3 linked regions of the Caenorhabditis elegans genome follow. The protein of the gene in region 3 interacts with the protein of the main gene of each other region in a pairwise test. Each region holds a gene or a part of one and is shown on either strand. Other genes may lie near its edges. The genes, in order: C29F9.5, mmad-1 and pccb-1.

What was found.
Region 1: the proteins of pccb-1 (region 3) and C29F9.5 interact in a two-hybrid assay, tested with the Caenorhabditis elegans proteins (one large-scale study listed by BioGRID).
Region 2: the proteins of pccb-1 (region 3) and mmad-1 interact in a two-hybrid assay, tested with the Caenorhabditis elegans proteins (one large-scale study listed by BioGRID).

Annotation. Positions count from the first base shown.
Region 1 is NC_003281.10:115,724-119,438, reverse strand, and holds C29F9.5 (histone acetyltransferase), read right to left. Parts: upstream 1,930-3,715; 5' UTR 1,884-1,929; coding exon 1,856-1,883; intron 1,810-1,855; coding exon 1,664-1,809; intron 1,621-1,663; coding exon 1,494-1,620; intron 1,211-1,493; coding exon 1,100-1,210; intron 1,046-1,099; coding exon 672-1,045; 3' UTR 525-671; downstream 1-524. Other genes in the region: C29F9.6 (histone acetyltransferase), read right to left, coding at 2,945-3,015, 3,063-3,488, 3,551-3,641.
Region 2 is NC_003281.10:13,546,335-13,551,075, forward strand, and holds mmad-1 (Methylmalonic aciduria and homocystinuria type D homolog, mitochondrial), read right to left. Parts: upstream 2,672-4,741; 5' UTR 2,671-2,671; coding exon 2,605-2,670; intron 2,438-2,604; coding exon 2,389-2,437; intron 2,337-2,388; coding exon 2,263-2,336; intron 2,102-2,262; coding exon 1,882-2,101; intron 1,581-1,881; coding exon 1,150-1,580; intron 824-1,149; coding exon 812-823; 3' UTR 555-811; downstream 1-554. Other genes in the region: Y76A2B.4 (uncharacterized protein), read right to left, coding at 1-95, 313-423.
Region 3 is NC_003284.9:3,088,644-3,093,050, reverse strand, and holds pccb-1 (Propionyl-CoA carboxylase beta chain, mitochondrial), read right to left. Parts: upstream 2,625-4,407; 5' UTR 2,615-2,624; coding exon 2,558-2,614; intron 2,499-2,557; coding exon 2,379-2,498; intron 2,327-2,378; coding exon 1,318-2,326; intron 1,265-1,317; coding exon 840-1,264; 3' UTR 614-839; downstream 1-613. Other genes in the region: wrt-2 (WaRThog (hedgehog-like family)), read left to right, coding at 1-94, 146-537.

The sequences.
Region 1 (3,715 bases), on a different chromosome or scaffold from region 3:
TTATGTGAAAATCAATGAAAATTGTGTATTTTTCCCCAAAAGGCACTAAAATGCAATGTTCAAGTGAAAATTTATGAGAAATTATTGAAGAATGAACAAGGATACCATTGGAGTAATCGAATATTTGAGGTGGCTTTCGCAAACAAAAAGAAGGGGCGCCATTTTACAACAACAACATACAACAACTGGATTATAGTTAATATCAATTGAATGCAGAATCGCGCCGCTCATCCACCAGTAATAAAATCTGTAAAACCTCTTTTATAAAAAATTATAATTTTCCATGATCAGGTGTTGCAGAAAAAACGCTTTTTTCAGTCTTTTACACGGCTAGGGACCTACAAATTAACATGTAAACTTAGATGTTATTAATTAACATGTAATCCGTAGTGAAAAAAAGAACACCAGGTGTTCCCCGTGACCTTGGTTATGTTTTTTTGTTTATTTAAGGTCTTTCCACTTCGAGTCTTCTGCATCAAAATTGAAAACAAATGAATTATGCCAGAGAGTAATTTATTTCAAAAAAAAATTCCAAGGATACAAAGTTCAGGAAACACTAGGTTAAACGAAGCTACAAGAGACATGGTTAAGATTCTTGTACTAACAGTTGGTAAATTCAGCCACTACAGTAGTGATTTGGTCAATTGAACATGAAATCTTTTGATAGGTGATTAGGAACCCTGGTAGTCCGTGGAAGTCCCCTCCAAGCGATCGTCAGCCTCATCCTCCTTCTCTGAACCATCACTTTCATCCTTCTCCTCCGTCTTCTGACGTCTTGGAAATCCTTCCTGGTAGCGGCAAACCTTCTCTCTAGCCATATGGTAGTACGCTTCCAGCTTTTGGGCGGTATCGAAGATCTGAAGCTCCGCAGATCTCGAGTACTCCTTCCAGGTATCCATTTGGGCCTCGGACAGGGTACCCGGCTTCACATTGGACATGATTCCCTTGTAGATCTTCTCGATGAGTTCGCTTCGGTAGGTTTTGGGGACTTCCAGGTGCCAGATCTGGTCGTGTTCTGGTTTTTTGGGCTCCGCAGGGGTGGTGTCTGAAAGAATAGGCCGATTTACTGAGCCGGTGGGGTAGAATCTCAAATAGTTACCCTGAGGAGGAGCAGTCCGCTGCTCAATAATCGGCTTGCACACTGGGCATTCCTCGTTGAAGCATTTCTTCCAATGGCTGAGGATGGTGCGGGAGGAAGCACAGTGGACCGCTGGAATTTCAGGGTTTGTGGGTTTTAGAGGAAAGACCTATGCTTCGGCTTAGGCTTAGGCTTAGGCTGAGGCCTAGGCTTAGGCTTAGGCTTAGGCTATGACTTAGGCTTAGGCCATGACTTAGGCTTAGGCTTAAGCTTAGTCTTAGACTTAGGATCAGGCTATGATGTAGGGTCAGGCATGGGACCAGACTTACAAGGCTCAGGGTCATTTCAGCCTGCTGAAACTCAAGCGCGGCACCGTCTAGATCCTTTTAGCAATCCTTCATCTATTTTCACTCACAGTTACACTTGGGTCCTTCCTTGCACGACGTCATATGCTTCAGCACCTCCTTCATGATCACACAATCCTGAATCTTACACATTGCATGAGGAGCCGGCTCGTTCTTCTCGGCAGCTTCACGGATTTTCTGTAAAATATTTCTTAGAACCCCCGGGAGCCCAGAAACTCACAATATCCCGACGGACACACTCGTGGGCGTGAAGCAGAAGCCCTAGTTGACGGGAGATCAGCGTGTTCATCGTGGCTGTTGAGACCCTGGGTTGTTGCTGGACGTTATCGGAGGTAACACAGATTCGGAGATTGGAGAGGTCCTCGACTGAAAGGTTCAGGCGAGATTAGAGGTGCGAAGGATCGTAACTTACTAAGCGCTTCCTCAAGGGATTCCGACATTTCTAGAATGGGTCAAAAGTTGGAGTAGAACCAGGAGATGCTGAAAACGCAACGAATTTCAAATTTTAAAAGAAAATTTAAGGAAATGAATGAAATAATTTGGCACACTTCTTTAAATACACCAATTGGCAAAGTATCTGGAACCAGTGTCACGCTATGAATGAGCTGTACCAAGCCCACGCAAAATTGGACACACATACATTGATTTTATTCAATATACACAGTAAATGTATAGGAGTCTCAGAGACACAGAGCGGGAGACCCCCCCGGCACCGGCTTGTGTTTCTCAATCACACATTTTCCCATAAAAAGTGTGTTGCGTGATATGTATCGCAATTTTGAACGAGTTTTTGGACAAAGTATCTGGAACCGTTTTGAATGACGGGTGATAATGTGGAGCTGGCCCACGCATGGCGTGTTGGAGCAGAATGATAAGGACCGCGAGCCCAAGAGCTTTGTCTGTGTTGGAAGGGACCATAGCTTATTAGGGGCTTGAAGCTGTGGGCCCGAAGCTGTGGGGCCCGTACGTGTGGGGCTAAATCTTCGGAAGCCTGTAGCTGTAGGGGCAGTAGATGTGAGGCCGTACTTTTTGGGCCATATCTGTGGTTCTCGTTCCTGTGGACCCCGTACCCGAAAGGACCATGTCTGTGGAGCTCGTGTAGGGACCCGTACCTCTTAGGTCCCGTACATGTGGGCCCGTTCCTGTGAGGACCATACCTGTGGGGGCCCGTACCTCCTGGGTCCCGTACCTCCTAGATTCCCCGCAAGGCCATGGGGGCAATTGTGGTGCAAAGGGACCAAAGCTGTGATGCTGAAGCCGACTAAGAATCTACTGAAAAGGTTCTTTCAGAATTTTTTACTTTTTTCCAAATACTGAAGTTTCAAGTAGCCCTTCACCCAGTTCTGAACAAAATTTTTTTTTGTTTTTTTATTCTACTGGTTTTCTATACTTTTTTTGAGCAATGATATAAAAATGTCAATTAACATAAGAAAAAGTCATTGTAAAGAAGTCCTTAAAATGAGAAGTATTGCAATTTGAGATTCTGTGAAGCTGGCGATCATCAGTCTGTGGAGCCCTGGAAGTCCTTGGAAGTGCCTTCCATATGATCAAACACCTCATCAGGATCTTCCTCTGAAAATCTTCCATATTACTTAAATTACACCTGACTAAAAGTCTACCTCCAGCCCCCTTCTCCTCTTTTTGTGCCTCCTGGCCAGGGCCCTCAGGAGCTTTGTCCTGCTCGCGGGGAGCTCGCTCCTCAACCATGCGGTAGTACTCATCCCTACTCCCCGCTGCTTCAAAAATCTGAAGCTCAGCAGCCCTCGCGTCCTCCTTTATCTTCCAAATTGGCTCGAATCTTTGCGGATGGAGCATGATGTGTTTGGAGATTCTCTCAATAACTGCCTCTCTATCGGTTTTCGGAACTTCACTGTGCCACGGTTGTGAGGTTCCTGGAGGTCTTGGCTCGGGATCCTTGACGATAGGAATTGTGCTCAACGCGTTCATATTCTGTGCAGTCCTGTGTGCTCCACAAATCGGGCATTCCGCATTGGTACAGCGTGTCCAATGGTGGATGACCATACGAGACGAAGTGCAGTGTTCGGCTGAAATTGAAGGGATAAGGTTACTATTGGGGGGGGGGGGGGGGGGGCTCTTCTGAACTTACAGGGACACTGAAACCCATTCCAACACGTCATCATATGCCCGATCACCTCCTTCATCGTGGAGCACTGCGGAACAGGACATTGCTCAGCGATCTGCAAAATCAAACTAGAGAATCGAGTCTTTAGAAGATCCGAGATATCTGAACACTTTTCAAGCTTGATACCTT
Region 2 (4,741 bases), on a different chromosome or scaffold from region 3:
AGAATCGCGGTGGCGAGGAAGATGGCGATGGAGAATGAGATGGGCAGAACACAGAAGATTAACACAATTTGGGTGGTGAATGTAGGTAGGGTTTTCTGAAAAAGTGGTTTTTTTAGGAAGTGTTTTTAAAATTGCATTTTAAAAATGTATTTTTTCTTGAAAAGCACTTATTTTTCTACAAACTTTTTTACTATGTAGGGTATTCAAAGTTTTTTGTAAAATTAGAAGCGATCACGAAAAAAACCTGTGACCGAGTTTTTCTCAAAACACGGCCACGAAATTATTTTAAGCAAAAAAAAATTCTGCACAAACCATAATCCGTTTCCAGTAAAACCCCATCGTCTCGAAAATCCGTGTCTCTGGGGGTTCTGATCGCTGCGACGTGTAGACGTCCGCCTCGTCCTCCTCACTGATGATCGTCATCTGGTATGTTTTTTTTTGCTAGAAAATTCAAATTTCCAGCTTAAACCAATTTCTTTAAAAGTTCAAAAAAGAAGAAAACTTTAAAAAATACCGTCAGATCAGTAACTTGAAAAGGTGACAACAAGTGAATTGTGGATTCTAACAAACATTTATTTTTTTCTAAAAAACAACCATTAAATTATTTACAATTTCGAGACAGTGCTTGCTTGCAAATTTCATTCATTTGAAAACCGCAAATTTTTAGTCTAAATTAAAAATTTTACAGACAAAAAAAAATTAGAAAATACGTGGAGCGAGGGACAACGGGTGCAAAATGGAAGGAGAATCGACTCATATTTATGGCATATTGTGGGCGGGGCTTCTACTGGAAAATTGCTCGATGGAATCTCTATTCGTCAATCTAAAAAAATTAACTTTTTTATTTAAGGAAGTCGAAAATTTATTCAATAAAATATCTCTTTGGTTTTTGAAAGAGCGACCTTTTTTAAGACTTTGTTTTATTTTTTGTGAAGTCGAAAATCGTACAAAAATTACAAAATGTAAGGAAATTCTGAAATTTTGTAGAATCCCAGAAATAAAAACATAATTTTCGTCCTTTTTTTGGAAATCTGAAAAATGATTATCATTATTAGATAGCAGGAAGAACATCAAAATAAATTTTTTCAAACATAATTTTACGTTTTTTTTTTTCAAAAATTCGGTTTCAGAAATTCCAACATCCTGTACCTCCTGAGTAACCTTCTTCAAAATATCCCTGACGGCATCCCCATCAACAGGAGCATCAGTGAAAATAGTTCCCACAAATGCGTTGGATCCCCAGCATGCGTGTTGCAGAACTTTGCAGCATCCGAGGTCTTCAATCTTGAAGCCCATTTGTTTGTAGGCGTCATTGGTCTCGAAAAGTGTATGATTGGTGTAATCACCCATATACGGGCGGCCGGAAGATGGATCAATGAAATCAGCCCAATAGCCGAAACGATGGAGAGTTGAGCAAATCGCGTTGGCGGACATGATGAATGAGGCGGTGAGCTTTTCACGTTCCTCTTCCATTGCTTCACTCCATGCTTTCATGTCGAATTCTGACTTTTGAGTTAGATTGAACACGGTCACGTTGTTCATCTTTTGAGTCTCCATTTGTGGGAATAGGTATTTCATTTCTGGAAAAAAAAATGATTTTTGAATTTATGAGTTTTAAATTCAAAATAAATTTTAAATTCACTTTTTGAGCTTCACAAATATTGCGATTTGCCGAGTATGACGACCACGGTAAATTTTTTAAAAAGTCGATTTACCAAATTTACCGCACACCCCTGCTAAATATAGTTCTGCAAAGCATTTTTTTTTTCAATTTTTCACTAATATTAACTCGAACGTAATCTCAATTTCCGATTTTTTGAAAGACTAATTTTTTAAAAGTTCATTTTCAGAATTTCTATAAATCCCAGCTTTCCAGCTCACCTTTTTTGAGCAACTTTGGTGCTTCAATAGCGGAAAGTTCAATCTCAACGTCAGCCGCATTTGCCTGAATCTCTTCCATTGCTTCTTCCTTCAATTGAGCCAAATGTGTACGGTCAACTTCGATATTTGTATTGGAGAGCAAATTGATCAAATTGTGCTCCGTATCGTCCATCACACGCTCGATTTTTGAGTTTTCCACTTGTTGGCGGATGCTCAATGGCTGCAAATTTTGAGTTTTTGAAAAAATTTAAAATTAAATTGGAATTATTTTAAATGGGTAAATTTTCGAAAATTCAAATTTTTTACATGAAATTTGATTTTGGAGTAAAAAATCAGATAATTTTGGGTGTCTGTTTGGAAAATCAATTTTCAGAAATTTACCTTGTGAGCAAACGAGACGTCTCCCTGGAACGGGTACTGACTGTCATTTGGGCCGAGAAGCGAGTTTTGGCGAGCTGAAATGTGGAAAAATTGTGAAAATGTCGATCGAAATTTTGAATTTCTTACGAGTTGTGCCCTTTCCGACGAACACGATTGGAATTGGGTCGATTTGGAGCTGAAAATTTGAATTTTATGATTTTCAGCACATAAGCAGCTAAAACGCTTACTTTTTTTCAAAAGAAAAATTGAATTATTCGGTAAATCAAAAAGAAATTAATTTTTCTGAAACAAAAGATTTTTCGATAAAATCTGCAATTTTTCAGCCATTATCCAAACTCTCACCTGCGTTGAAAATGCGGCAACACGTTGGGTAAACGCACGCATTTGGGGACCTTTGGCGGACAACATCCTGCAACAAAACTTGTATTTTAATTTAAAATTTTACTTTTAATTCGAAAGAAATCAATAAGGCAAGAAAAAACGAAGAAAATATTGAAAGACATGTTTGTTGGAAATTGAGTGACAGCTAGAGGGAGAATTACGCAGACGGTTAGAGAACACTGAAATTGGGGAGACCGCCGAGAAAACGAGAAAAGGGAAACCGAAGAACGAGCGCGACGAATCATGTGAACTTTATTATTATTATTATTACTGAGAACACTAGTAATTACTGATCAAATTAGTTGTTATCTAAATTCCTAATTTTTTGTTTCTATTTTTCAACCTTGTGACATATTGATTATATCATCAAAAAGGCGTGTACTTTTAAGAAGTACAGTAATCTTAAAGTGTTTCTTTTTTTTCTTTGACCTAAATTGTTAATTTATTGTGTTTGAGTATTAAACACATAATTCTAAGATTGCGTACTGTGCAACATATTCAACGAGTAAAACATCTCGTTGCAAAAACTACAGTAATTCTTCAAATGACTACTGTAGCGATTGTGTCGATATACGGCCTCGATTTAAAAAACATTTATTTATCGATAGAACATTAAAACTAAGCAAAAAAAGAGATAATAATACGAAAAAACAAAGTAACTCCCACTATTCGCAAATAATTTTTTTTTTCACTATTTGAGCCCGTAAATCGACACTACAGTAGTAATTTAAAGAATTACTATAGTGTTCGAGAATTACTATCTCGTAAGATATTTTGCGCGTTAAATATGTTAGTTAATACGCATTCTCCGAATTTTTCACAAAATAAAAAAGGTTTAAATACATAAAAAACCGAGACAAGAACAACGATTCTTAGAATTCTTCCAAAAGTTCGAAAACTCGAGAAATTTAAAAATTCAAAAAGAAAATAAAATTTAAAAATAATCTTTGAAAAGATTTAAAGCCAAAAAGTTAAAAAAAATCCAAAAATCCAAATTTACTATCATTAAAAAGCCTGAAATAATCTGAAAGTCTTCGAAGTCTTGTTCAAAGCCAACTTTTTTGTTTTGATTTAAAATCTGTTGGGTGAACGTGAGAAGTGCAACAATTCAAGAAAAGAGAGCGAAAAGACAACAAGTGTAACGATGAAAGAAGGGTCACAGTTGTTGCACGTGAAAAAGAATTGTCTAGAGGCGAATAGAAAGTTTTCGGATTTTCAAAGTCCACTTCGGAGTTTTTTTCAGTGGACTTTCGTGATGTTGGAACCCAAGAATGCAATTTTAGGTTCTCGATATTTTTTGAAAATTTTCTAAAAAAGAATAAACACTTTTAGAATTGCAAAAAAGAAATATCGATTTTCGAGCTTTTTTTTCAAAATTTTGAGTTTTCGAACGGTTTTTCTTTAATAAAATTATTTATCGCATATTTTTGAAGTTTTTGAAACCTTCCAGTTAGTAATCGGAAATAAAATTTTCTCTAAATTGTCTCAAAAAGCCAAATTTGAATGGTAGCCAAGAAGTGGGAGGAGCTGGCACTCGGACTTTTTTTTTCAGAAATTAATTATTAAAAATCGAGTTATAAAATTTAGCAAAATATCTGAAACAAGGGGTTTTGGACCACATTTAAAAAAATAATTTTTAAAGTTATAAACAAGATCGCTTCATTTTATGGTGCAAGACAACTATGTATAGAAATTCTATAAAAATCTGGAAATTTTCAAATTTTCAGTAGGAAAATAAAATGGAGTATATATATATATATATTTACATGTCAAATGGTACAAGAATATCTCGGAATAATTTTAGGGGGATTTTGGGGACCCGTGTGCATAATAAATTGAACAAATCAAAGTGAGGAGCTGGTGGGGAAAAACGGGGATTCGGGGGAAATGGTGTGAGTGATGAAAATGGGAAGAAAAACAAGTAAAGCTATATTCACAAAATTAACAGAGACTGAAAATATTATTTTTAGAGGGAAAAGTTGAAAATTTGAGAAAAAAACCGATGAAGGTTTGAAAATTGGATTTTTTTCAAAATTCGAAAAGTTTTTTCCAAATAAACCAGTTCTTTAATCTATTTGTATAAATTTTTTTAAAGAAA
Region 3 (4,407 bases):
CCACAATATGCTCAACAGCAACCTCAGCCACAATACTACCAAGACCCATTTGCCGCAATGCTTCAACAACAGCACCAAGCATTCCAGCAACAAGGTTAGCATCGCCTAATTTCAGAATCACAATGAGATATATCCCATTTTCCAGTTTATGCTAACCAGCAGCAGCAACAACAACAGATGCAGCAGCAGCAGCAGCAACAACAAGCACAACCACAGCAACAGCAGCAACCAGCTCAGCCACAGCAACAACTTGGATTTGCCCCACTCCCACAGTTCCCACAACCAATGATGTTCCAAGCTCCACAAGTTGTCGCTCAGCCAGGAGTAGCAGCAGCAGCAGGAGTTCCACAAATGCCAATTGGTGCTCTTCCACAAATGCCGGTTCAAATGACATCTACACTTCCACCAATGACCCTCCCAAAACTTGAGGATCTTCCAAAGCTTCAAATTCCAAGCGTAGAAGATGTTGAGCAGGTCATCCCACCAGTCCAGCGTGCCATTCTAACCAGTGTTGCCAAATTTTTCGGAGTCCTCTAAAAGCGCCAACTAGCTAGCCTCAATTATCACATATGATTTCATTTGTCCCATTTCGAAAGCTCGTACTAATAACACAAAAATCTACTATTTATCTGAGAACAGTAATAAATACAATTTTCAATTATGACTTTACAAAACAAAAAAACGGAAAAAGGAAATAATACTCGAACAATTGGAATACGCAAATGGCGCATTTTGTATGTGGGATGAAAATTCACAAGTAAACACGTCAAATACCGAGCAGGCCGGTGAAATGGCAACATAATAGTATGGATTAAGGCGGAGTGGGTAGTGCTGGAAATTTAGAGTGGAATGTTTCCGTGCTTCTTCCATGGGTTCTTCAACTTCTTGCTTTCAAGCATGTTCAAATCCTCGCACACCTTCTTTCTGGTCTCTGATGGAATGATAATGTCGTCGACGAATCCTCTGACAGCGGCTGGGAACGGGTTGCTGAACAGCTCAGTGTATTCCTCCTCGTGTTGAACGGCGTGCTCCTTATCATTACGGAAAAGAATGGAGACTGCACCCTTGGCTCCCATCACAGCAACCTCAGCAGTTGGCCAGGCGTAGTTGATGTCTCCACGAAGATGCTTTGATGACATGACATCGTAAGCTCCTCCGAAGGCTTTGCGAGTAATGATGGTAATCTTTGGAACGGTGGCCTCGGCAAAAGCGTAGAGAAGTTTGGCTCCGTGACGGATGATACCTCCGTACTCTTGGGCAGTTCCTGAAAAGATATTTGATTTAATATTTGAAATACTTTCAATCGGGAAAATTTACCTGGCAAGAAACCGGGAACGTCAACCAAAGTGATGATTGGGATGTTGAAAGCATCGCAGAATCGGACGAAACGAGCTCCTTTCACGGAAGAGTTGATATCAAGGCATCCAGCAGCAAACTTTGGATTGTTTCCAACAATTCCGACAGTGCGTCCGTTCATTCTGGCGAATCCAATGACCAAGTTCTTGGCGTAGTCTGGCATAATCTCGAAGAAATCTCCCTCGTCGACAAGAGCGTGAACAACGTCCTTCATGTTGTAGGCAGCAGTGCTTTCCAATGGAACAACAGTATCCAAAGATGGAACAGCTCTGTCCCATGGATCCTCAGCAGCACGGATTGGAGCAGCATCAGTGTTGGAGAGTGGAAGATAGTTGAAAAGCTCTCTGAGGCTCATGAGCGCATCAACATCGTTGTCGAAAGCACCGTGAGCGACTCCAGAGGTGACAGTGTGAGTCTTAGCTCCTCCAAGTTCCTCCTGGGTGACCTCCTCGTTGGTAACAGCTTTGACAACATCTGGGCCAGTGATGAACAAATAGGAGGTATCACGAACCATGAAAGTGAAGTCGGTTAGAGCTGGCGAGTAGACGGCTCCTCCAGCACATGGTCCCATAATCATAGAGATTTGAGGAACGACACCAGAAGCCATCACGTTCTCTTGGAAGATATCGGCATACCCAGCAAGCGACTCAACTCCTTCCTGGATACGGGCACCTCCGGAGTCATTGAGTCCGATGACTGGGGCTCCGACAAGCATGGCCTCTCTCATGATCTTGACGATCTTTTTGGCGTGAATGGATGACAGAGATCCTCCGAAAACAGTGAAGTCTTGGGAGAAAACAAAGACGGTACGTCCGTTGATTTCTCCACGTCCAGTGACAACCGAATCTCCAGGATATTTCTCTTTCTGCATACCGAAGTCGTTGCAGGTGTGCTCGGCAAACATGTCATACTCCCTGAAGGTGTTTCTATCCAAAAGAAGATCAATGCGTTCGCGAGCTGTTAGCTTTCCCTGCAAAATTTTTTCATATAAGTAGGTTTTTTTTTTTGGAAAAATGTCTTACGCGAGCATGTTGAGCGTCGACGCGCTTCTTTCCACCTCCGAGAAGAGCTTTCTCTCTGGTCTCATCGATCTTATGGGCAACCTTGATGGTATGAGCGATCGAACTGGTGGCTCGAGTTGGCTGAAAAATATAGTTCATTATAACTTATTTCCTATACTTATTTCCTAATATAAACTCACATGAAGAACTCCGTTGAAAACTGGCAGCGCCAGTTGACGGGCAAATCGGGACAACATACCCAAAGCTCTCAAAAAGTGAAAAGTAAGAAACGTTTTTCAAATGTAGATAAGAAAAATAAAAAGAATTTGAGTAAGAAGAGAAAAAGGGAGGACAAAAACTGAGCGGTCAATGCTCGGAGAGAAGAAGGTCCCAACAAGTGTAGTGCAACTTTGCTGTGTGCGTGACATTTAGAAGATTGCAGCGCGCAGAAAGGGATGTGAGGAGAACAGGACGGGGAGAAACGCGCCCGGCAGCAGTGCACACCACGGTCACGGGGAAGAGAGATAGAGATGGACACGTCGGGGGCCAGCACGTAGGCAACAAAACAAAAAATAATAGTTTACCATCGTTTCAAGATTTTCACTTTAACGCCGGCAATACGGGTGAGGAGTTTTTGATGTGAACATTCAGAGTAATCGACTTGTTTGTCGATTGATAAGGTCACAACACGAGAATTATATCAGTGAATCGATAGATAATGATTATTCTTTGAAGTTGATTGTAGAAAACTAAAACGAATCGGTTATCAGAAATGTTTTCAAGAGATTCTGTTTCGTTTCTCAAATGGCAAGGGCATTTGTTTGGAGAAACCCATTGATTGCGGTAGAGCGCACTTACATACATTAGATCCCAAATCTATTTGCGCAGTGGTAAAGGGGGGGAGGACAAATGAGAAAAAAAGGCGACACAAGAGACCACCGCTCGAAGACTAACTGTGAAGGACAGTCGATATTGACGGACCATCGAAACAACATCAAAACAACATAATAACAACACAAAACTGTACGCCGTAGAGCAAGATCAAATCGGTTCTCAACGGAGCGTTTTTGTGCGTGCAGTGTCGCAAATTGAAAACAAACGTTGTAGACCACTTGTCACTTTTCTCTTACCTTCTCCGACTTCATTGAAACATGTCCTGCGAATCAAGGTTCTTCAAAAGAAAAAGTAGAGAGAATAACAAAAGTGATGTCTTTGGTTTTTCAAATTGAAAAGGAAAAAGTAAACGATAACACGATATAAGTAGAAACCTGATAGAAAATGTTTAAATGCATCGAAAGGATTTTTTAAAAATTCTCAAAACATTAGGCTCATTTTTGATAAAAAATGTGGCATTCTACATGCAAAATATGGTACATTTTCAAAACTTTAAAAATTCCCAAATCACTCCAAAGTAACATTTTCTAGAATTTCTCTCAGAAACTTTGTTGAAAATTTTTTTGCTCTTTGCACTAAAATAGTGTATGGAAACAAAAAATATCTGAGAGAAGACAAACTTTGGAAATAGTTTTGTAATCTTTATTGTTACAACATTAACTTATAAAATTTTTCCTCACTTTTGTTCACAATATAGATTTGTTCCATTATTTGAACTATGTTTATGTTTTGAAAAAAATCGGAGATTATAATAAAACCAACCAGAAAATTTTAGATTTTTTTAATGTTTTAGCAATCTGCCAAATAACAAAAAAGAGCTTTTGAGGAAACACAGAGCAATATTGCATGTTCTAACCCCTAAAATGTTTTACAACAAATAATTAAATCAAATTTAAAGTATAAAAATCGTAGAACTTTTTTTTTGGTCGACTTCCAAAGTTATGAGTGCAAAAACTGAGCGATTGCACGTGGTGTCAGGTTGTCCCATAACAGTTTGATCTACAAAAAATGCGGGAATTTTTTCCCCGAAAAATGTGACGTCAGCTCATTCTTAACCATGCGAGACCAGTTGAGAAGTCTGCGTCTAAATTCCCGCAGTTTTGGTAGATCACAACGAAATGGGACATTCTGACACCACGTGCGATTGTCACTTTTC